Saccharomyces cerevisiae S288C: one gene and its partners. Changing the gene in region 3 together with the main gene of any one other region gives a genetic interaction. Each region holds a gene or a part of one and is shown on either strand. Other genes may lie near its edges. The genes, in order: VPS55, ERV2, LCB5 and IRS4.

Region 1 (4,056 bases), on a different chromosome or scaffold from region 3:
TCTTGCTGTAGGCCTTACCAAAGGTTTAGATTTCTCTTCTAACGTCTTAGTCCTCTCTATAATTTTCGATGATTCAGAAACTTTAAGTTCGTATGAATTTTTAATGGTTAAACAATCCTTTTGATCGATAATGTCGTAATATGGTATGAAGCTGTCCATGGGATTGAAGGCATAGATGAAACAATCAATTATTGAATCTTGCTGTGGAATGTTGGAAAGATCATGAATAATTTTAATAGTTTGATCTTTGTAGCAGCATATCACTACGCAGTTGTATTTGGCATTGGTGGTCTGTTTGTAATAGTCAAACATTAATTTCTTGGCCATGGATGGGCCGATCTTCAAGTGGTGAATTAGATCCGTAAAAAGGACGGGCTTTACCTCAGTGAAGAGCTTCTCATTGATAAAATATGACGCCTTTTGATCCATTAATTACCGATTGAGTTAACTAAAGCCTATTTCTGGTTGTTAGTTAATGTGAAATATTATTTCGAGCTGATCTGATTGCGATGTAACGAACTTCTGCGTACTTTTCAAAATTAAGAGTTTCGCGTGTTTAACTCATACGCGTTTACTACTTCCGTCGGAAAGTTACACCGTAGTGGAAAATAGACCTATTCGTTAGTATAACCTTATTAAGGTACTTCCATTAATGAAGTGTTCTATATTGAGGCATACTGATCGAGAATTTTCATAAGGTGAAACGATAAAAATATAAAAATTAAGCTTAGCGCCGCTCGGTTTCGATCCGAGGACATCAGGGTTATGAGCCCTGCGCGCTTCCACTGCGCCACGGCGCTTAACTTTTATGAATATTTTAGACTTAATAAAGATTCATATTGTAAAATTAAAAACAACTTGCACACTGAGCTGTGTTAGAATGAAATCCTACTATAATCCATAGTAGTATTCATGTCACTAGCACATTACAAAATATGCCATAGGAAGATGACGTAAAGATTGAGAACTAGTCATCAGATATAATAGAAGCTGAAAAGCAAGAATTGATAATATCGGACGCTATCCTACAATAGCAGCGCAGTTGCATAATTTGTTATGTGTCGTCTTTATTGTGTGTAAAGCTTTATACACCTTTACCTTTGTGTAGAAGACAAAGACATTGTTGTTATCACTATGTCCACATTCGCTACGAGGATATTTTCAACATATCTAGTTGAAATACAAATCTCAAGCCACTATAAAAACTGCGGAATCAAACAAATGTACAATACATTATCCTACTAGAGACTAATTTCTCAAGGTTTGCAATCCCATCTCTTTTCATGAGGTATATTGCGGCACAGAATGGTTGTACGACCATTGCTCAACGTTTCCGCTCATAGATCGATTCAAATAAGATTATAGACATGTGGCGATTCAATGCCAATCCTTATCCCGAAATTACGGATGTATTCAGCCAACTTTGCCTATCTACATTATTCTGTCAACTAGAGGCTAAAGACACGAATTTCTTGGCATTTTTTGTTTGAAAACTTGAAATGGAAGAAAGACAGAAAGTAATTTTATGTAATCTATTATATTTAAGTAGTTCTAAAAAAAAGGAGAAATCGACGCCAGATTTCCCACCTTGAGTAGAGTATCATACTATATAATATCAATGTACGGTTCACGCACCCAGTTGGCTTAGTCTGTTGAGGGGATGAGTAATTGTTATATATTAACCAAAAAGGGAATCATCTTCGTTGAAATCTTTTTTGAAAAACCATTTAAAAATAACAATACTAGAATATATGATAAGACCACCGATCATGCACATGATACAACTCAAATGGCCAATCAATTGGCAATGATAGAAAACAACAGGGAGTGCTATACCGCTTGTCACCAGCATTCCTGTAAGGAAGTGAGCCAGATCTTGGCCAGTGTTTGATGAATCGGACATGAAGTCAGATGTGTGATATTTATTTCCTGCATTGAAAATTGTGTTTGGTATTGGGGCAAGCAAAAAGATCAAAATATCGAATAGTGGGTAGTAATTATGGAATAATGCGCAGCTTAGTATGACCAAAAGGAATCCCAATGCGAGGAATCCTGACAGAGAAATAATCTTTGTCAATGGTGACACTTTGAATTCCATCATAACCGTCTGGGATTTTATGTATTAAGATTCTTTGCCTTTTAGATTTGATAAATATGCGCCGATATTAGACGTGTGTGTGTGTGTGTGTGTGTGTGTGTGTGTGTGTGTGTGATTCCCCTTTTCTAGTTTTTCTCCTACTCTTTTTTTCTCAGTTTTTCGTAAAGTGGAGTGAAAGCCCATCTAAGAAAAAGGCATAATAAAATGTAATAATTTTGAGGAGTACATTTGGGTATAGAACAGGATCAAACTAATTACAAGAGATACATGGCTTTCCCGCTTAATGCGAGGAAACAGTACTTATATAAACGATATATGTTTGGGGCGTGTATATTATGTATATAAATGTTCTTAAAAAATAAAGAAACAAAAATACTGGTTAGTTATTATTATGTTTTTTGTCATTCTTTCTAGTTTAACATTGTGGTAGTAATTTATTAACAGGAATTTGCTTTTTACTGCTTAGTTTCACCAGATTCGGCATTGTTGCCGTTGTTGTTGTTGTTGTTGTTAGAGTCGTTCTTGTATAATTGTTCAAACAATTTCATCGAGGAAGTTTGCAATTCTTCGGTCTTGGTCTTTAACTCCTCAGCGTTAACCTCTTCGCCACCTTGTACTCTAGCAACCAACTCCTTCAAGGAAGTGATTTGATCCCTAACCTTTTGGGCTTCAGCCTTGTCAACCTTACCTTCAAATTCTTTCAAGGAGTTTTCAGTATCGTTGGCCAATTGGTCAGCCTTGTTGGCAGTTTCGATGGCTTGTTTTCTAGCTTCATCTTGAGACTTGAATTTTTCAGCGTCGTTAACCATTTGTTCAATTTCGTTTTCGGACAAACCAGAAGAACCGGCAACAGTAATAGAAGAATCTTTGTTTGTAGCTTTGTCTCTAGCAGAAACGTTAATAATACCATCGGCATCGATGTCAAAAGTGACTTCGATTTGTGGGACACCCTTTGGAGCAGGTGGGATACCGGCTAAAGTGAAGTTACCAATCAATTTGTTGTCTCTAACCAATTCTCTTTCACCTTGGAAAACTCTGATTTCAACAGAAGTTTGACCAGCAGCGGCAGTGGAGAAGATTTGAGATTTCTTTGTTGGAATAGTAGTGTTTCTTGGAATCAATCTTGTGAAAACACCACCTAAAGTTTCGATACCTAGAGACAATGGGGTAACATCTAATAATAAGACGTCAGTAACCTCACCGGACAAGACAGCACCTTGCACAGCAGCACCAATGGCAACAGCTTCATCTGGGTTGACGGCCTTAGATGGGTCCTTACCAAACAAAGATTTAACGGTTTCGACAACCTTAGGCATTCTGGACATACCACCGACCAATAAGACTTCAGATATGTCTGAAGTAGACAAACCGGCGTCTTTCAAAGCCTTCTTGACTGGGTCGACAGTTCTCTTAACTAGTGGGGCTGTCAAAGTCTCGAATTGAGCCCTGGAGAACTTCATGTTGATATGCTTTGGACCTGAGGCATCAGCAGTGATAAATGGCAGGTTGATTTCAGTGGAAACGGTAGAAGATAGCTCAATCTTAGCCTTTTCAGCAGCTTCTCTAATTCTTTGGATAGCCATACGGTCATTTTCCAAATCAATACCAGTTTCGGTCTTGAAACGAGAAACAATCTCTCTCAACAAATAGATGTCGAAATCTTCACCACCCAAATGAGTGTCACCGTTAGTGGACTTAACTTCAAAAACACCGTTGTCAATATCTAAGATGGAGATATCGAAAGTACCACCACCCAAATCGAAAACGGCAACAACTTTAGAGTCGGATTTTTCCAAACCGTAAGCTAAGGCAGCGGCGGTTGGTTCATTGACGACACGTAAAACGTTCAAACCAACAATTTGGCCTGCGTCTTTAGTAGCTTGTCTTTGAGAGTCGTTGAAATAAGCTGGGACAGTGACAACAGCATTCTTAACTGGCTTACCCAAGTAGGCCTCAGC
Region 2 (3,295 bases), on a different chromosome or scaffold from region 3:
AAATGGATCATGATTATCTCTACAAATATTAATAGACATCTTGTACCAGTGAACGTGTGTTTATGCAAATAATAGGAGTTTTTTTTTTTGGAAAAAAAAGAAGAACACACGAGATACTCTTTAATGTAGTGGTGTCTTTGTAAGTCAGCAAAGTGGGAAGGAGGGGTAGGCGTTTGCCACTAATTAAATGCTAAAAGTTCATCTATTTTCTTTTTTTTTTTTCGTTCATACTTCGCGATGAAAATTTTTCACTATTTACAGAACGGGTAAGAGCATGATTTTAAGATCATTTCTTGTATGATGTATCCGGAGCTTATGTATATGTGACGTGTATGTATTTGTACGTATTGTTTTGTATATTTGATTGTTAGAACTGAATTATTTCACATTGTCTTTTGATCATCGGCGTGTTCTGTGCTACCCAATTACTATCTCTCAAGGCAGCTTTTGGGTCGTGAGATTGGGATAGCCGGTGCTTAGCAAGTACATCCTGATATTTACCTTCAAATTCCTTGGATTCTCTGATCACTACGTTTTCGTCAAACTCCACGTAAATCCTGGTGTCGTAGACCCTCACCAGAACATCGTCCACCCTTAAAAAGAACCGGCTCAGCAGCAGTAACCTTTCGTTCATAACTCTTATTTTGACGTTAAGGATTGATATGCCATTGTCTGCCAATTCGTCTTCGAAAAGAATCATGTCGTCATAGAATAGGATTTTATCGTGTACGGCCAGTTTGTCAAGGGGCAGCTTTTGATCGTTATCCAGTCGGAATTTCGACTCAGGTGAGCTCTCTGTGCCCTTATACCGCGTAGTGTAGGTCCAGTCGTACTTGTGTATGATATTTAAGGAATCGTCGTTCACATCGTTAGTGAACCGTTGCGCACCATTAGTTGAATTTTGTCTTTTTTTAGAATTTATCCAGTCGTTTGAGTACGCAACACGAATACCTGAATCCTGGAGTTGAACCTCCTTTAAAGCATCCAGGGCATTGAACTCTATGGACCAATGCTGTTTTGAATTTTCGATCCTGATGTAGTTGTTACCAAAAATCATCTCTGGCAAAGTCAAACCTTTGAGTTTTTCGTTTTCCCAGATGTCTAATTCCTGCGAGTTCAAAATGGGCTTCTTTCTGGAGGAGATGGTCCAGTCGTTGATGGAGATGGAGGGGTTGTCCTCCAAGGGTAACGTGGCCCTTGGAGATGGAATGATAACAGACCCACAGTGGAGACACTGCGGATTGTTTGGGTTATTGCAAATATGTCGAGGTGGTGTTGCTGGGGCTGCAGTTGGTTGCACAGAGGGTGTAGTGATGCCGCTAGTTGGCATGGGCATTCTTCGAGCGCGCACCGTTTGAGCGTGCATTTCTCTAGCAGCATTTATTTGAATAGTGTTTATCCCTGATGATCTGAGCGGTGGAGTGTTTCTTTTGGACATTTTTTCTGGGGAGCTGTTGTGTCTAAAGCTGCCCTTAGGTCATGTATATGGGGTGCGTAAGTATGGTGATGCATTTTGTTATTATATATTACAAGATGGAAGAGAAAGGTTAACCACCGGGTAAACGAAGCGGGAAAAGGAACCAAAAATAAAGGACAAAAGGCTTTATCATTAAACAATAAACGTGGGTGATGAAGACAAGAAGACGGGAAGGCTGGTGATTTGTAAAGAGGAAAGTCTGGACAGATTGTGCAAGGAACGAAGGGATGAAACAGATAGTCAAAAGAAGCCATGCCATCAGAATAGTTGCAGCATTAGGAATCATAGGCCTGTGGATGTTTTTCTCGTCTAATGAACTATCCATCGCTACGCCGGGCCTAATCAAGGCGAAGTCTGGTATAGATGAAGTGCAAGGGGCGGCTGCTGAGAAGAACGACGCTCGGTTGAAAGAGATCGAGAAGCAAACCATTATGCCATTGATGGGCGATGACAAGGTGAAGAAGGAAGTGGGCAGGGCGTCGTGGAAGTACTTCCATACCCTGCTGGCCCGTTTTCCGGACGAGCCTACTCCTGAAGAAAGAGAGAAACTGCACACGTTTATTGGGTTGTATGCAGAACTCTATCCATGCGGGGAATGTTCATATCACTTTGTAAAGTTGATTGAGAAGTATCCCGTACAGACATCTAGCAGGACGGCTGCCGCAATGTGGGGATGCCACATTCACAACAAGGTGAACGAATACCTAAAGAAAGACATATATGACTGTGCTACCATCCTGGAGGACTACGATTGTGGATGTAGTGACAGCGACGGTAAACGCGTGTCTCTCGAGAAGGAGGCTAAACAGCACGGTTGAACAAAGAAAGATTACATTAATCAATTATAGTAATAGTAAATTTTTTATTATTTTATATTTTAAATTTTTTTACTTTCTCAGTATTTATATTACATAAATATGTATATATCAAAAAGTTTCTGTCGTAGAAGAGACCCGATCCGAGGTTATTGAATGTAAGTGCGGGAAAGTGCAGATAGAATGACAATGAATGCTCCGGAAAAAAAAAAAAAAGTACGTGACTTACTTGCCCAAGTAAGTAAAGATGCCAAGTGTCTTTTATGCTAATAGTGTGCTAATTCTCGTGTACAACACTTACAACAGAGACAAAGAGTTTTTTCTGGAGTGTGAGCGGCTTGAAGCAGAGGCATCCAAAAGAGCGGCATTGGCAATAGCCAGATTCAGGTCATCGACGTTTGCGTCAGAGTTCTTTCTTGAGCTTGGCTGAGAGACTGGCGAAAGAGATGGGATGACAAAAGGTTGAGAAACGTCAGAAGTTAGTTCTAAAAAGGCGACCATTGTTGAAATTTTTGTTTTTTGTGTTATTTGTGTGAGTTGTCAGTAAAGCTGTTTTGTAGTTGCTTGTTTGATGATGATTTTTTATATTTTACAAGGACTAGAGGAAACAATTGTGAGAGTTGAGCTATTGGAGAAATCTAGAGACCTTATATATGTGTCTGTTCTTCATGCTAATTGAGCCCCCTCTAAAGTTCTCTTACGTTATAGAGCGTCATGACAACGATTGATCACGCAGATGACTAACCGCCAGTCACAGCGCATATTAGCGCGCAAATGAAAAGAATGACCGACCCGCCGCGGAATCGATCTCGGATTTGCGCGGGGACAGCCACACCCACCTTCCGCGGACCTGCGGAGGGTGGTTTTCGGCAGGCGGTTCCCGGACACCAGGAAAGGGGCGCCCATTAATACCCGACTTCGGCGGCCACCGAAGGCTCAGGGGCGGGGAGGAGGCGTCATGAAAAAGCATGATTCACTGCATTACCAATCACGCACGCACGCA
Region 3 (5,304 bases):
CTTTGTTCAGTTATCAACATATAGTCATACTTAAAGATATAATAGCTCATAGTCATATATAGTTCTTTATACTTGAAAAAGTGATTCCTAAAAATCTCAACTTTTTTCACATTGTATTTACAAGATAATAAAATTATTACCATATTTAAACGAAAGATAAATTTTGAATTAAGGCGGTCGTTACATCATACCTGGCATTCCTGGCATACCACCTGGCATACCACCAGCGCCAGCAGCTGCTGGTGGTTCTGGGGCATCAACAATAGCAACTTCGGTAGTAGCTAATAGTGAGGCAACACCAGAAGCATCAACTAAACCGGATCTAACCACTTTAAATGGATCGATGATACCAGTGGCTAACATGTCGGTGTATTCTGACTTAGAGGCATCGTAACCCTTGGCAAAATCATCACCATATTCATCAATCAATTTGCCGATGATAACTGAACCTTCTTCACCAGCGTTTTCAATGATCTGCTTGGCTGGTCTTGTAATGGCCTTTCTTATGATATCGACACCCAATTTTTGATCGAAATTGTCGACAACAACTTCATCCAAAACTCTAGATGCCTTCACTAAGGCAGTACCACCACCTGGCAAGATACCTTCCTCAACTGCAGCTCTGGTAGCGTTCAAAGCATCATCGTAACGGTCCTTCTTTTCACCAACTTCAACTTCAGATGCACCACCGACCCTGATGACAGCAACACCCCCGGACAATTTGGCCAAACGCTCTTGCAGTTTCTCCTTCTCATATGAATTTGTGGTGGTAATGTCGATGGAGCCTTTGATTTGTTCAATTCTCTCTTGAATAGCTTCCTTTGGACCACTACCGTTCAGGATAACGGTGTCTTCCTTAGTAACGGTAATAGAGTCACAAGAACCCAAGTTTTCTATGGTACATTGTTCTGGTTTCAAATCCAACTCCTCAGTAAAAACAGTACCGCCCGTCAAGACTGCAATATCACCAATTGTATTCTTTCTATTATCACCGAAACCAGGCGCCTTCACAGCACAAACCTTAACTTGACCCCTCAACTTGTTCAAAATACAAGCCGCAAGAGCTTCACCGTCAACATCTTCAGCAATGATCAACAAAGGTCTTCTGCTTTGATTGGAAATTTCCAAAGCTGGCAAGATATCTTGAATGGAAGAAATTTTCTTTTCACTCAACAATAGCAATGGCTTTTCAAATTCCACCTTGCTCGACTTTGGATCAGTGATGAAGTATGGAGAAATAAAACCACGATCAAACCTCATACCTTCAGTAACCTCAAGTTCATCTTCCAATGTTCTACCTTCTCTGATAGTGATGACACCTTCTTTTCCAACCTTTTCCATAGCTGAAGCTAGTAACTTACCAACATGAGAGTCCCCATTGGCAGAAATGGTTGCTACTTGAGCAATTTCCTCAGATGTGGTAATTTCTTTCTTGTTGGCGCTCAAAAATTCAATCACTTTTTCAACTGCAACTTGAGAACCCCTTCTCAAATCCATAGGGTTACAACCAGCGGCGACATTTTTGACGGATTCTGTGAAGATGGCTCTACCTAAGACAGTAGCAGAAGTAGTACCGTCACCAGCAGCCTCATTGGTTTTGGAGGCAACTTCTTGTAGTAACTTGGCACCCATATTTTCAAACTTGTCCTTCAACACAATAGATTTGGCAACTGTAACACCATCCTTAGTAATCTTTGGAGGACCGAAAGGCTGTTCGATTAAAACGTTTCTACCCTTTGGACCCAAAGTAGCAGCAACCGCTTCAGCTAAAGTTTCGACACCCTTAAGAAGGGAGGCTCTTCCTTCTACACCGAATTTCAATTCTTTATGAGAGGAGTAAGCACGACGCAATAAAGGCCTTAAAGTAGCGCGACTACGAACAACGGATGATCTCAACATTTTGAAAACTTTTTTGCTTATGATGTTTTCTCGTGGGAATTTTCTTATATTATTCAAGGAAGTGCATGAAGACGCAACCACGACCTTACATAATGAATGTAAAACTTAGTCTCCTTCAATATATATACATGAATGTCCGTCTGGATTCTGCTCCGGGCAAAACGAAGCAAAATTAAAGTCACCCTCCCCATTTGGTTTTCTGGAAAATTCCACGAGGTCCGTATATGATGACATATACAGATGGGCGGCTATAAAGTAAGTTTCCAGAGGTAATACCAGGCAATAAACAGCTTCAATTGCTCGTAACACCATTGTATACCTACAAAAACAGTGGAATAGGGATGAGACATAACTGGCTGGAATTTCAACTGTACTTCTTTGCACAACTAGTCTTGGCGTTCTACTTGATCATTGCGCGAATGGATGCACTCGCAATAATTCCCAATAGTATAACAGGAGGAACATTTGGATGCATTAGGTATATTATTCATCTTCTTTATCATCAAAATTTTCTCTTCCTTTATGTTACTATGTTGCTTTCTTTTAATCTATGTTTTTTTCCCTTTCAGTTGCCACCGCTTTTCTGCAAGATTCATAGTTAGATTTGCAAATCAAGGTGTTTTCGGGCCTTGTTAAAGCCTTCGCAGGCGAAGAAGAAAGGGAACGTAAGCTGCGTGAGCCGAATCTATTTATACAAAAACAATCAAAAAAGTATAACTACAGCATAAACTGTTGTATATACGTGTTGCAAAATAGGAAAGAAAAGAAGAGTAAAAGGACTCTTGATATTATCTCGAAAAAACCACAAATAGTGTAAGATTTAAACAGTAAGCCAAAAGAGATGACTTTGAAACCTTCAAAGAGACGTAAGGGCAGGTCTCGCCATTCCAGGAAGAAGCAAATAACGTCAGCGATACTGACTGAGGAAGGAATAATGATCAAGGCAAAACCATCAAGTCCTTACACATACGCAAATAGAATGGCAGATAAACGAAGTCGCAGCAGCATTGACAACATCAGTAGAACTAGCTTTCAAAGCAACATCAGTAGAACTAGCTTTCAAAGCAACAGTGATAACAACAGTATATTTGAAACGGCTTCACTAATTAGCTGTGTTACCTGTTTAAGCGATACTGATACAATAGACAGATCGGAAACATCGACAACGGATACAAGTAAAGATGATCTTTCTGCTAATCCAAAACTTCATTATCCTTCGGTGAATGGTCAATTGCCAGCAAACACCGTTATCCCCTATGGACGAATTCTGGATGCCAGATACATTGAAAAGGAACCTCTGCATTATTATGATGCCAATTCATCACCCAGTTCACCTTTAAGCAGCTCAATGAGTAACATTAGTGAAAAGTGTGATCTTGATGAATTAGAGTCTTCCCAAAAAAAAGAAAGGAAGGGCAACTCGCTATCGCGAGGAAGTAACAGTAGTAGTAGCCTCCTGACTTCCAGATCTCCTTTTACGAAACTAGTAGAGGTTATATTTGCTAGGCCAAGACGGCATGACGTTGTACCCAAAAGGGTTTCATTGTATATTGACTATAAACCCCATTCATCTTCTCACTTAAAAGAAGAAGATGACTTGGTTGAGGAGATTTTAAAGAGAAGCTACAAAAACACTAGAAGGAACAAATCCATATTTGTGATCATTAATCCGTTTGGTGGTAAAGGTAAGGCGAAAAAACTGTTTATGACAAAGGCAAAGCCGTTACTATTAGCAAGTCGGTGTTCCATAGAAGTGGTTTATACAAAATACCCTGGTCATGCTATAGAGATCGCGCGGGAAATGGATATTGACAAATATGACACTATTGCTTGCGCTTCGGGAGATGGCATTCCTCATGAGGTGATCAATGGGTTATACCAAAGGCCTGATCATGTCAAAGCATTCAACAATATCGCCATTACAGAAATTCCATGCGGATCAGGTAACGCAATGAGCGTATCCTGCCACTGGACAAACAATCCTTCGTACTCAACTTTATGCTTAATTAAATCGATAGAGACTAGAATTGATTTGATGTGTTGTTCGCAGCCTTCTTATGCAAGAGAGCACCCAAAGTTATCATTTTTAAGTCAAACATATGGTCTCATTGCAGAAACTGACATAAACACTGAATTTATTAGATGGATGGGACCTGCAAGGTTTGAATTGGGTGTAGCCTTCAATATCATACAAAAAAAAAAATATCCTTGTGAGATATATGTAAAGTATGCTGCCAAATCAAAAAACGAGTTAAAAAATCATTACCTGGAACACAAAAATAAAGGGTCGTTAGAATTCCAGCATATTACTATGAACAAAGATAACGAGGATTGTGATAATTACAATTACGAAAATGAATACGAAACCGAAAACGAAGATGAAGATGAAGATGCGGATGCGGATGACGAAGACTCCCACTTGATATCTCGTGATCTGGCAGATTCTAGTGCTGATCAAATTAAAGAGGAAGATTTCAAAATAAAATATCCATTAGATGAAGGTATCCCTAGTGACTGGGAAAGATTGGATCCTAATATTTCGAACAACCTAGGTATCTTCTATACGGGTAAAATGCCATATGTGGCTGCTGACACTAAATTCTTTCCGGCAGCGCTTCCTTCAGATGGTACAATGGATATGGTTATCACCGATGCAAGAACCTCGTTGACGAGGATGGCACCAATCCTGCTGGGACTAGATAAGGGTTCCCATGTTTTACAACCGGAAGTCTTACACTCTAAAATTTTGGCATACAAGATAATACCAAAGCTAGGGAACGGCTTGTTCTCTGTCGATGGCGAGAAATTTCCTCTAGAGCCCCTTCAAGTCGAAATTATGCCACGCTTATGCAAGACGTTACTGAGAAATGGCCGTTATGTGGACACAGATTTCGATTCTATGTGACACTTTACTTAATCTTTTCCTTCGTACTGAACAATTAATCAAAAACTAGAATATGTCATTTCTATTTCTTCTATATTTTTTTTACGTTGTTGTTGTTTTTGTTGTTGTTTGATAACTTTATACACTCCATACTTCTTTATAAAAAGTTTTAATACCATTCTTTAATACAACCATGTTTAGTGAGTACTAGCTCCTACACATCAGATCGTCAAGTACATTATGATTATGATTATTATTAATATTATCAGTACAATTATTATGTGCTGGTAGTTCACTAAAAAATATGACGCACACAAAGAGTTCTCCTTATGCCCTATAGAACTGAAATATTAGGTGCTAACACTGACAAGCGCTTTGTTCCTGCTCCTCTGCTGTAGAAATATCAATGACTCCCGGTTTATTTTGGTTTGCACTATTTGCATTTTCGCTATCCAAAGGAGTTGACTCGCTGTTTTGAAATTCAGGCAGCGATTTGGCAATCTTTTTGAATAAAGCTTTGA
Region 4 (8,485 bases), on a different chromosome or scaffold from region 3:
AACAGCATTGAGAGAATAAACGAGATGGTTTCGAAGATCTGCTTGCAAAGGAAGAAGGTTGAGATGAGGTTGCAAGCGTTAGAAAAAACAAAAATTGACTTGGAAAAATCTAAAGCAAGCCTAATAAATAAGCTCATTGGTAACTGAACGTTAATCATGTTATTTTTTTAATCGCTGTACTATTAAAAAGGGATATCTTTACGACAAGTGATATGGATGTATAGATTGATGGTGTATATTTGTATACTATAAAATGTCCAATATATTGTACACTATTGAATCACAGGACACAAAGTAAAATGGTAGCAATTCTGTCGGAGAATGAAAATAATGTACTTATTTTCTCTTTTCGCGAAATGCTTTCTTAAAGTCGTCCAGTACACGGTTTTCACTAGCAACGTTAACCGAGTAGGCTGCTGGGTCAACATGGTTCTTGCTTACCTCCCAATCAAATTTGGAATCTGATGACATTCTTGGATCATAAAATGCTGTAATATCGACTGAAGAATCCACTGTATCTTCTGGATTATCAACTCTGTTATTACTATTGCTGTTTGATTGTATGACGTTATCATTAATTTTAAGTATTGGTAGTTTCTTATTGAAATTTAATGATTGGCTTTTGGGAAAGGCATCTTCGTCACTACTGCCTAGCATCTGGTTTATGTCATTGAAATGCTGATTGTTCTGTCTTATTGTACTAGGTAACACTGATGTTGCGTGTAGACTGGCACGATTTTTTTTTCTCCCATCAAGACTCATGTTTAAAGACTGCAAAATAGGAGTGTGTGAATTAACGTTCTCACTCGGAGCACTGGTTGACAGCTTGAAGTTGAAACCAGATGCTATATCGCCATCATTGTCATCTTCGTCGGATAAGTCATCAATTTGAGACCAACCATTGAATGAGTCCTCCTCAATGCTGGCCAATGTCTCTCTAGATTTGTTTAGTTTTAGTTCAGGAATTTTAGATGAACTTGTATCGTAGTATGGCAATTCAATCCCATCGGCCTTTAATACATCAAAATATGATGGAGGATCCACAGGAATAGCATGAGAATCGGCTGCGCCGCGCTTAGCTAGATCAAAATCAAAATCTGGAGGCGGGGAGTTTGATAATGGTTGGTAATTGAGAATTGGTGAGGTGATGGGCGATAATGGTAACGCCTGAGGAGAAGTTAATTCTCTTGGAATCTGATTGGGCTTATAAATGTTTGCGACCAGCTGTTTGGATGCGAAGACATTGCTACTTTGATCATTCTTCTTGGAGGTATTATCTGACTTGCTTTTCTTTACGCTTTCAGCTCTATTACGCACTACTGGAAGATCAGACGGTATTCTAATGTTCATCTTCTGCACGTTAGGTGAAAGAACGGGAGACGAAAGAACTTCTTTTGGGAAGAAAATATTGGAATCATGATGACTTGCGTAATTTTGTTGATCTGCTGCTGGTGCGAAATTACCATCTTCATCACAATACTGGAAATGACTCTCGTAGCTCGGTAGCAAAGTATTCGCGTGTGAGCATAGTTGATTTAAAATATGGATTGGAGAATCAATACTTATTTCGAAATGTTTTCTATTGTCCCCGTACTTCTTGGAAAGACGAAGGCAAATTTTTATCCAATGGTGGGCTTTGATTTTATCATAATTTGTATCAGGGTGTAACCGTATACTGTTTGTAAACTTGCTTGGGACAAACACCTCGAACTGAAAATCTTTGTTAACTAGATCGCCGGATTTTTCATCCAAGAGGATGTTCCCTCTATTTTTAGCCTTCAAAGGATTCGAACCAGCTGGTATATGAGGCAGTTTAGGACCGTTATGTTCAGCCAACAGAAACTTTTTAGTTGGCTCTAATCTACGAGCCTTCTCGTGATTTCCATTACTATTACAAGTGTATTCCATAGACTCTGTTAGATAAATTCTAATACGATGCAGAGTAACTTTATCTAGAGGAGCGAAATGGAAATCGATGGGTAAAAATGCATTCAAAACGATCTCTTTCGAGAAAATTACCACGTCATAATGAAGAAGATCTTTCCAGTCCTTGGAAATTGCAATAGCTTCAGTCTCTTCTACGGATCCATCAGAAGGAAGCCTTACGACTTTGATGGGTAATTGAGTATGTATAGTTGATTTGAATGCGCCAAACCTCTCTATGTCTATTGACAGTTTATACTCCACGGAACCAAAATTGGCTTTTATACTTTCTGGATAAGATTGCGATATTGGCTGTTCAAAAGTGTAAATATAATCGCCCGGTCGAAAAATAAAAACTTCTTTAGAATCTTTGGATGGTGTAAGATAGTTATCCTCTTGCTCAGGACTTGGAGTAGCGCCACTATTACTGAATGTTTTTGTAAACAAATCAGATATGAAGGTATGAGGTGACAAAGAGTTACCGTGAAAATTTGCCGGTACCGATCCTCTTCGACTAGATGATGGTAATGGTGTCTTTTGAATAGCCAACAGTTTACTGTCGTCATGGGAAACATCACTTGATACTGGCTTGTTACTCAAATTATCGGATGACAATGAGTTGCGCTCATAGGCATCCAGACTTAGATTGCTATTATCTTTAGGGGGTTCAGCGGTTGGTGGGATATATACTGAAGCACCGCTTTTTTCAAGTAGATAATCTTCATCGCTCATAGATGGGCGATTGGACGAATTATTTGAGCTGTGATGTTCTAAGGTGAAAGAATTCATGCCGTCATCCGCCTGATAAAATGGCCATGTGTGATTGACAACAGTTTCAACATCTGAAAATTCTTCTCTCTTCGGTGGTATACCTTCCGGCCACTCTGTTCTGGATATTCCTTTGAAGGTTATCGATATACTTTTTAATTTATTCGGTTTCAACACCCTGACGATAAGAGATCCTCGTAAGATACTGGGGGCTATTTCAGACAGTCCGTTAGTTTCAAATCCTTTTAAAAACACTATGGGTTCGGCAAGCTTTACAAAGACTTGTAGTGTTGTTGTCTGCACCAGTGGGACGGCATCAGGTGCTGCATTTATATCTTGCTCCATGGGAAACACTGGAGCTACAGTATCATTTTCTGTATTGAATTGGAGCATGTAGTCATAGAGGAACAAGCAATATTCTATGGGATTCCAGCGTATTTGTGCGGAATGGAACTTTCTGTTGGTTGTCTTTCTTGTTGCTTGTCTCTTATTTCAACGAGTTGTTCCCATTTTTGATAAGATGGGGATAGCGAAATAAGACAAAAGAGTCAATATTTGGCAATTCGCTCAAAGAGGTAAAAAGACGGCGCTATTATATATCTGCGTATATATACTACAAACAGCCGGGAATACATTTGGCAAAGTCCTCGTACGACAATAGGGCAATTGCTAGTAGTGTTAAGCAGTTTTTCAGGTGAACTTGCAAACCGAAAAAGAGGAAAAATTGGTTCACATAGTAAAATGCACTCTCTCGAAGGAAGTGTTCGGTGAAAGCCACGATATGCCGCTGGAAATTACAGTTCCTTGATTAAAGATTCTACTGTTTGCTTCAACTTGTTAATTTGGTCTTCATTGGCGTTTGTAATTTCTTTGAGAAGGTCGTTGACTTTTATTAGGTCATAATAGTTTTCGTAAATGGTATTCTTGATAGAATTGTTAGTCTCGGTTTCTTTGCCCAAGAGCTTATTGTGAATTTGTACTAGCCTCTTAAAGGGCAGGTTCTTTATCTCTTCTTCTGCATCTTCTGACCCCTCCTTGAGATCCTCTTCAGTTGCACTCAATTCGTCATCTTTCACTGGTTTCTCAGTGTTTGCTTCGGTATCTATATTCACATCTGTGACTTGCTCCTCCCCAGAATGAGCCTCGCTGGCTTTTTCCCCTATACGTGCTTCTTGACGACCTTTATTCGGTTCATTTTCCAAGTTGTAGAATTCTCTTAAGAGCAATCTTCTATCTTTGTTCAGACTGCTCACCCTCAGGGACTTTTTGTGACTAATTTGTTCTGCCATCTGTACTTAATATCCTCGTCAGATTCCGTCTCACCGCAAATACGCCTCTTCTATGCAGAGCCTCACCTATACGTACAACTTACTGCCTCTTGTTTCCACGCAGCGAAAATTCGATGATTTCTCGTATAAAGCATATCGAAGTTGAATCATCACAAAAAGGCCCATTGTGTAATGGACCCTTGCCACAACAACACTCTCGTTGCACAGGTAGAACATACTTTTAAGGCCTGGGTAGATTCATTTTTTTGACATAGGAAAAGATTAGCAGAGGAGTATGAGACTTTCGTTTGGTAAACAGCGTTATCATGGCGGTACAACAGTAACTTTGACTGAACAAGGAGCTTCAGATTCCCTTCGCGCTGCGCAAGCTATCTTCCAGAACCATTCCAATGAGGTCAGCAGTCCATGCCCTCCAGTAACGGTGAGCAGGAATCCTCAAACTAGGTTATCAGAGCCATCGCTACAAAAGTCAGGGCGGAAACAAGAACAAAAGAAGGCACGCATACGAACAAAACAGGTACCTAAGATTAAAACAACGGCGCCTAATGATGTTGAGTTGTCTAAGAAACACAGGTCAAGCCCTGCAGGTAAAGATAATGTTAGTAGTACTGCTCAAATGGCAGCTGCTTTAGCGCATTCACAATCGAAACTTAGTTCTGACAATAACTCCTCCCATTCTTCGGCATTGGATACACTAAAAGTTCTAGAAACTCCGAACTTGAATGGCTTGCTGGGCATTCATTCACGCTCAAGCTCAAGAAACGGCTCCAATGAATCACTGACGCCTGGCCAAAGAACTCCCGACAATAGATCTCAAGAGAATTTACTTACTTCCTTTAGTAGCGGTAGAAGGCTATCCTCGAGCTCTATGGAGCCTGCAACTAATAAAGACAGCAACAAAGCTCTGCCCAAACGCAGGCCGTCTCCTCCCTTGCAATCATCACTTGTCGGCAGTGGTCAGCTTCATGAAAATGAAAACCTATCATCAATTAGCATCGATTCCAGACATAGTCTCAATCCGGACACTTCAGACGTTATTTCTAATAGGTCACAAACAAGTCTATCTCAAACAATTAATCAACTCTCGTTATGTGAATCAGAGCCATCTATTGCAAGCTCAAACACTACTACTACAACGAGCAACCAGGGAAGTGGTTTGCCCAACTTGGTTCCGAACTATTCATCCGATATGAGGAAGAAGAAGCTTGTTAACAAGTTCAAAAGGAAAGTATTTGGTAGTAAGCCCAAGCACTTATCTTCACAATATGAAATGGATGCAAGCAGCGAAGAACTGGGACAACATGAACAACAACCGAGTATGAGATTTAAAACAACATTACGTAAAACCTCTGTAAGTACAAACGCAGAAAATGATCATGCATCCTCTCTACATGAGGGAAATCTGAGGTATAAGTACAATCCGTCCAACGACACGTATGATGTGTATGACGATACTGATTCTGATTCTGAATCTGATCAGAACCAGGACGCCTTGACCAAGCCACGCAAAAGAGATAGAATTAAGAGAAAGATCAGGAATTCTGCCAATAAAACTGCACATCATAGGCCTATCCACCGCACGAGAGATCGGAAATTCAATGAGGATAAACCCTGGAAATCACATACAGATATAACTTTCGTAACAGACAACGAAAGGAAGCGTTACGAAAGCATGTGGGTAAGCAACAGACACCGTCATTTGAACCTGTTGAGCTGGTGGCCCTCTATAACGGGTGATTCCGGAGCAATTAATACTTTACCCGAAGATGGATTGATATTGGGTATCATAGTCCGTGATATCTGGAAGCGGTCTAACTTGCCCAATAGTCTATTGGCAGAAATTTACACGAAGGTAGACACAAGAAAAGATGGTACTTTAGATAGGAAATCTTTTATTGTGGGTATGTGGCTGGTCGATCAGTGCCTGTATGGCAGAAAACTTCCCAATGTTGTCGAGCAATGCGTTTGGGATAGCGTAGATAGATATGCTTCCACCACGGTTGTGCCAGTGAGTACGCTAAAGGCGATGGCCAAACAAAAGAGAAAACAGATGAAAGAAGAAATCAAGAATATCAAGAAGGAAAACCGTGTAGTTCTTGTAGACCACAATAGCTCGTCGTGACGAGTGTGACTCGCACCACTTCGTAGGTAGACATATACAGAAGTATATATATATAATGCGTAATTCCCCCACTTGTTACTGTTAAGCTAATCGAATTGTCATCTCAGAAATCTTGTTCGAGATAAGGCCAATCTTACTAAAAAAATGTCTATTAGTCTTCTCTGTTATTATTATTCCCGGCTTTTTGCTTTCTTTCCTTTTTTCCAAGGAAGGGGGCAAATTCGATCAACTAAAAAAGAGGCATCGTTTATTCGGATGCCACCACTGAGACGATCCACAGGCTAATTGTGACTAGTGGATCACAGAACAACCAAAATGTTTAAAGTGTTTGGTTTTGGTGCGAAGGAAGAGATTCCTGAGCTTTCACAGGAAGAAAAAACTAAAGCCATTCTAAAACAAGCTCATGATTTCGAACAGGCACTGCGTGCGATGGACTATGTCTTAGATGATAATGCTGACGAGGGTTTGGCTTTGCTGGATGAGAGTGATGCTAAAGAAGCTTCCGACCAAACTATAAATGCGTTAGCTCGTGGTGTCATTGAATTTTTGGAGGCCACTTTAGGTTTTGAAGCTGAAGAGATGAAAAAAGCTTCTGCGACTTTGGCCAAGGCAGAAGCTTTATCTTTGAAAAGTAGAGAGAGGGCTCAAAAAATTGGATTGAAGAGCAGTTCTTTATATCCTCCAGGAACAGTTTATGCCGTGACTTATACAGAATCATGCCTTCTACATGCCCTATTGATGATTTTCAGTGAAAGTATGATGGAGGCGGCCAAGGCCATTTTAAAGCTCAGAAAGTCGTACTATATGTTACAAGAAATCTTGGAAACTATTAAAGCTGCTAACAAAGCCAAGAAATTGAAAATTACGTCAGGCAGTGAAGATAAGGAGTCCACCCCAGCGACTTTCATAACTGGTGGCGATGCGTTCAATTCCGTTGATATACCTTATGAACTGACTCCTGAAGAACAAAAGGATAAGGATCTTTTACAATTTGCTGAACAAATTCATAGCATGAGGACTGAAAGATTATCTGGCGCCCACATTGGCAACTCTCCTGCAATTAACAGGTTGAGAGGTGAGCTAGGACTACAAGCAATGGAAGACTTGCCAGAAGAGGAAATAACAGATCATAAAGTTCTTTCGGATGATATAGATTTAAGTCAAGCAACAATTGATGAGTTTGTCCATTCTGGTGTCAATTTATGCTTTGGTATTTTACAGGTTGTGATATCACTATTACCACCCGCTATTGGCGCGGTCCTATCTGTGGTTGGATTCAGGGGTTCCAGAGAAGAAGGTTTGAGACTTGTTTGGAAAGCCACAAAGCAAAGAAACGTGCATGGTTGTATTGGTTTGTTAGCCCTGATGTTTTACTATGATGGACCTTTCCAATTCACTGACGATGATTTTGATATTCCTGCAGCAGTTAAGGATTCCAGTAACAGTGAAGATTCTGAAGATGAAGAGATGGATGGCCCTACGTTGTTGCATCCTGGGAAAATACTGGAAGATGCGTTGCTGCAATCAAGAGCGCTATTTCCCAATAGTGCGCTATGGTTATTGAATGAGGCAAGGATGCTATCTGGTAAAGGGCGTTTAGAGGAAGCAGTCGCATTGATGGATTCGATTGATGTTAGCAAGATACGGATGAGACAGGTCAAATCCTTGATGATTTTTGACCGTGCTATAACATTGATCCATTTGCATCAATACGATAGAGCTGCAGAAGATATTTTATCGCTATTAGACATCAGTGATTGGTCACACGCTTTTTACACATATTTTGCTGGCTGCTGTTATTTAGAAAATTGGAGAATGTGCGAAATGGGATTAATGAAGTCAGACAAAAAGGATGAATACCAAAAGAAGGCCGAAGAACTTATCTTCACCTCTGTGAATTTGCTAGGTAAGAAAACCTTCAAATCGAAGAACCTGCCATTAGATAGGTTTATTCTGAGAAAAGTTGAGCAATTTAAAGCGAAAAAGGAGGAACTTGGGGTGGAAAATCCTCTGGATGGTATCGCTACTTCACCAGTACACGAAATTGCGTACTTCTACAATGGTTATAATAGAATGTCTGAAGAGCATTTGGAGCTAACAAAGAAAATGCTAACTGAGTATAGAAATCCCGCCATTGAAGCTTTAGACTCAGATCAGGAGTTAATCAAAGATCTCTTGGTCTCTTTGACATTAAGAAGATTAGGTCATATCCAAGAAGGTTGTGATATATTGGATGAAAAGGTTCTACCTAAGTTTTTCTCCATTCAAAATGGCAAGGTCAAATATATAAAGAAAACTGAAGATCCATGGGCCTATCCGACTGCACTTTATGAACGTGCTCTATTTACATGGAAGTTGGAGGGCATGGATGGCCTTCCAGAGA

What was found.
Region 1: mutations in LCB5 (region 3) and VPS55 together harm fitness more than expected from each alone (negative genetic interaction), as found in Saccharomyces cerevisiae (2 studies listed by BioGRID).
Region 2: mutations in LCB5 (region 3) and ERV2 together harm fitness more than expected from each alone (negative genetic interaction), as found in Saccharomyces cerevisiae (2 studies listed by BioGRID).
Region 4: mutations in LCB5 (region 3) and IRS4 together harm fitness more than expected from each alone (negative genetic interaction), as found in Saccharomyces cerevisiae (3 studies listed by BioGRID).

Annotation. Positions count from the first base shown.
Region 1 is NC_001142.9:517,085-521,140, forward strand, and holds VPS55 (Vps55p), read right to left. Parts: upstream 2,102-4,056; coding exon 1,679-2,101; downstream 1-1,678. Other genes in the region: DNA polymerase delta subunit POL32, read right to left, coding at 1-429; Hsp70 family ATPase SSC1, read right to left, coding at 2,554-4,056. UniProt on the Saccharomyces cerevisiae protein: Involved in protein transport from endosomes to the vacuole.
Region 2 is NC_001148.4:645,448-648,742, reverse strand, and holds ERV2 (flavin-linked sulfhydryl oxidase), read left to right. Parts: upstream 1-1,704; coding exon 1,705-2,295; downstream 2,296-3,295. Other genes in the region: TIF5 (translation initiation factor eIF5), read right to left, coding at 1-39; TIP41 (Tip41p), read right to left, coding at 368-1,438; IRC16 (Irc16p), read right to left, coding at 1,548-1,907; SPO24 (Spo24p), read right to left, coding at 2,590-2,793. UniProt on the Saccharomyces cerevisiae protein: FAD-dependent sulfhydryl oxidase that catalyzes disulfide bond formation in the endoplasmic reticulum lumen in parallel to ERO1.
Region 3 is NC_001144.5:663,104-668,407, forward strand, and holds LCB5 (sphinganine kinase LCB5), read left to right. Parts: upstream 1-2,740; coding exon 2,741-4,804; downstream 4,805-5,304. Other genes in the region: chaperone ATPase HSP60, read right to left, coding at 181-1,899; VPS63 (Vps63p), read right to left, coding at 5,134-5,304; Rab family GTPase YPT6, read right to left, coding at 5,141-5,304. UniProt on the Saccharomyces cerevisiae protein: Catalyzes the phosphorylation of the sphingoid long chain bases dihydrosphingosine (DHS or sphinganine) and phytosphingosine (PHS) to form dihydrosphingosine 1-phosphate (DHS-1P) and phytosphingosine 1-phosphate (PHS-1P) respectively.
Region 4 is NC_001143.9:473,833-482,317, reverse strand, and holds IRS4 (Irs4p), read left to right. Parts: upstream 1-4,254; coding exon 4,255-6,102; downstream 6,103-8,485. Other genes in the region: NTR2 (Ntr2p), read left to right, coding at 1-147; ALY1 (Aly1p), read right to left, coding at 337-3,084; VPS51 (Vps51p), read right to left, coding at 3,486-3,980; YKR018C (uncharacterized protein), read left to right, coding at 6,418-8,485. UniProt on the Saccharomyces cerevisiae protein: With TAX4, acts as a positive regulator of INP51 activity and phosphatidylinositol 4,5-bisphosphate turnover. Negatively regulates signaling through the cell integrity pathway, including the MAP kinase SLT2. Also seems to be involved in rDNA silencing.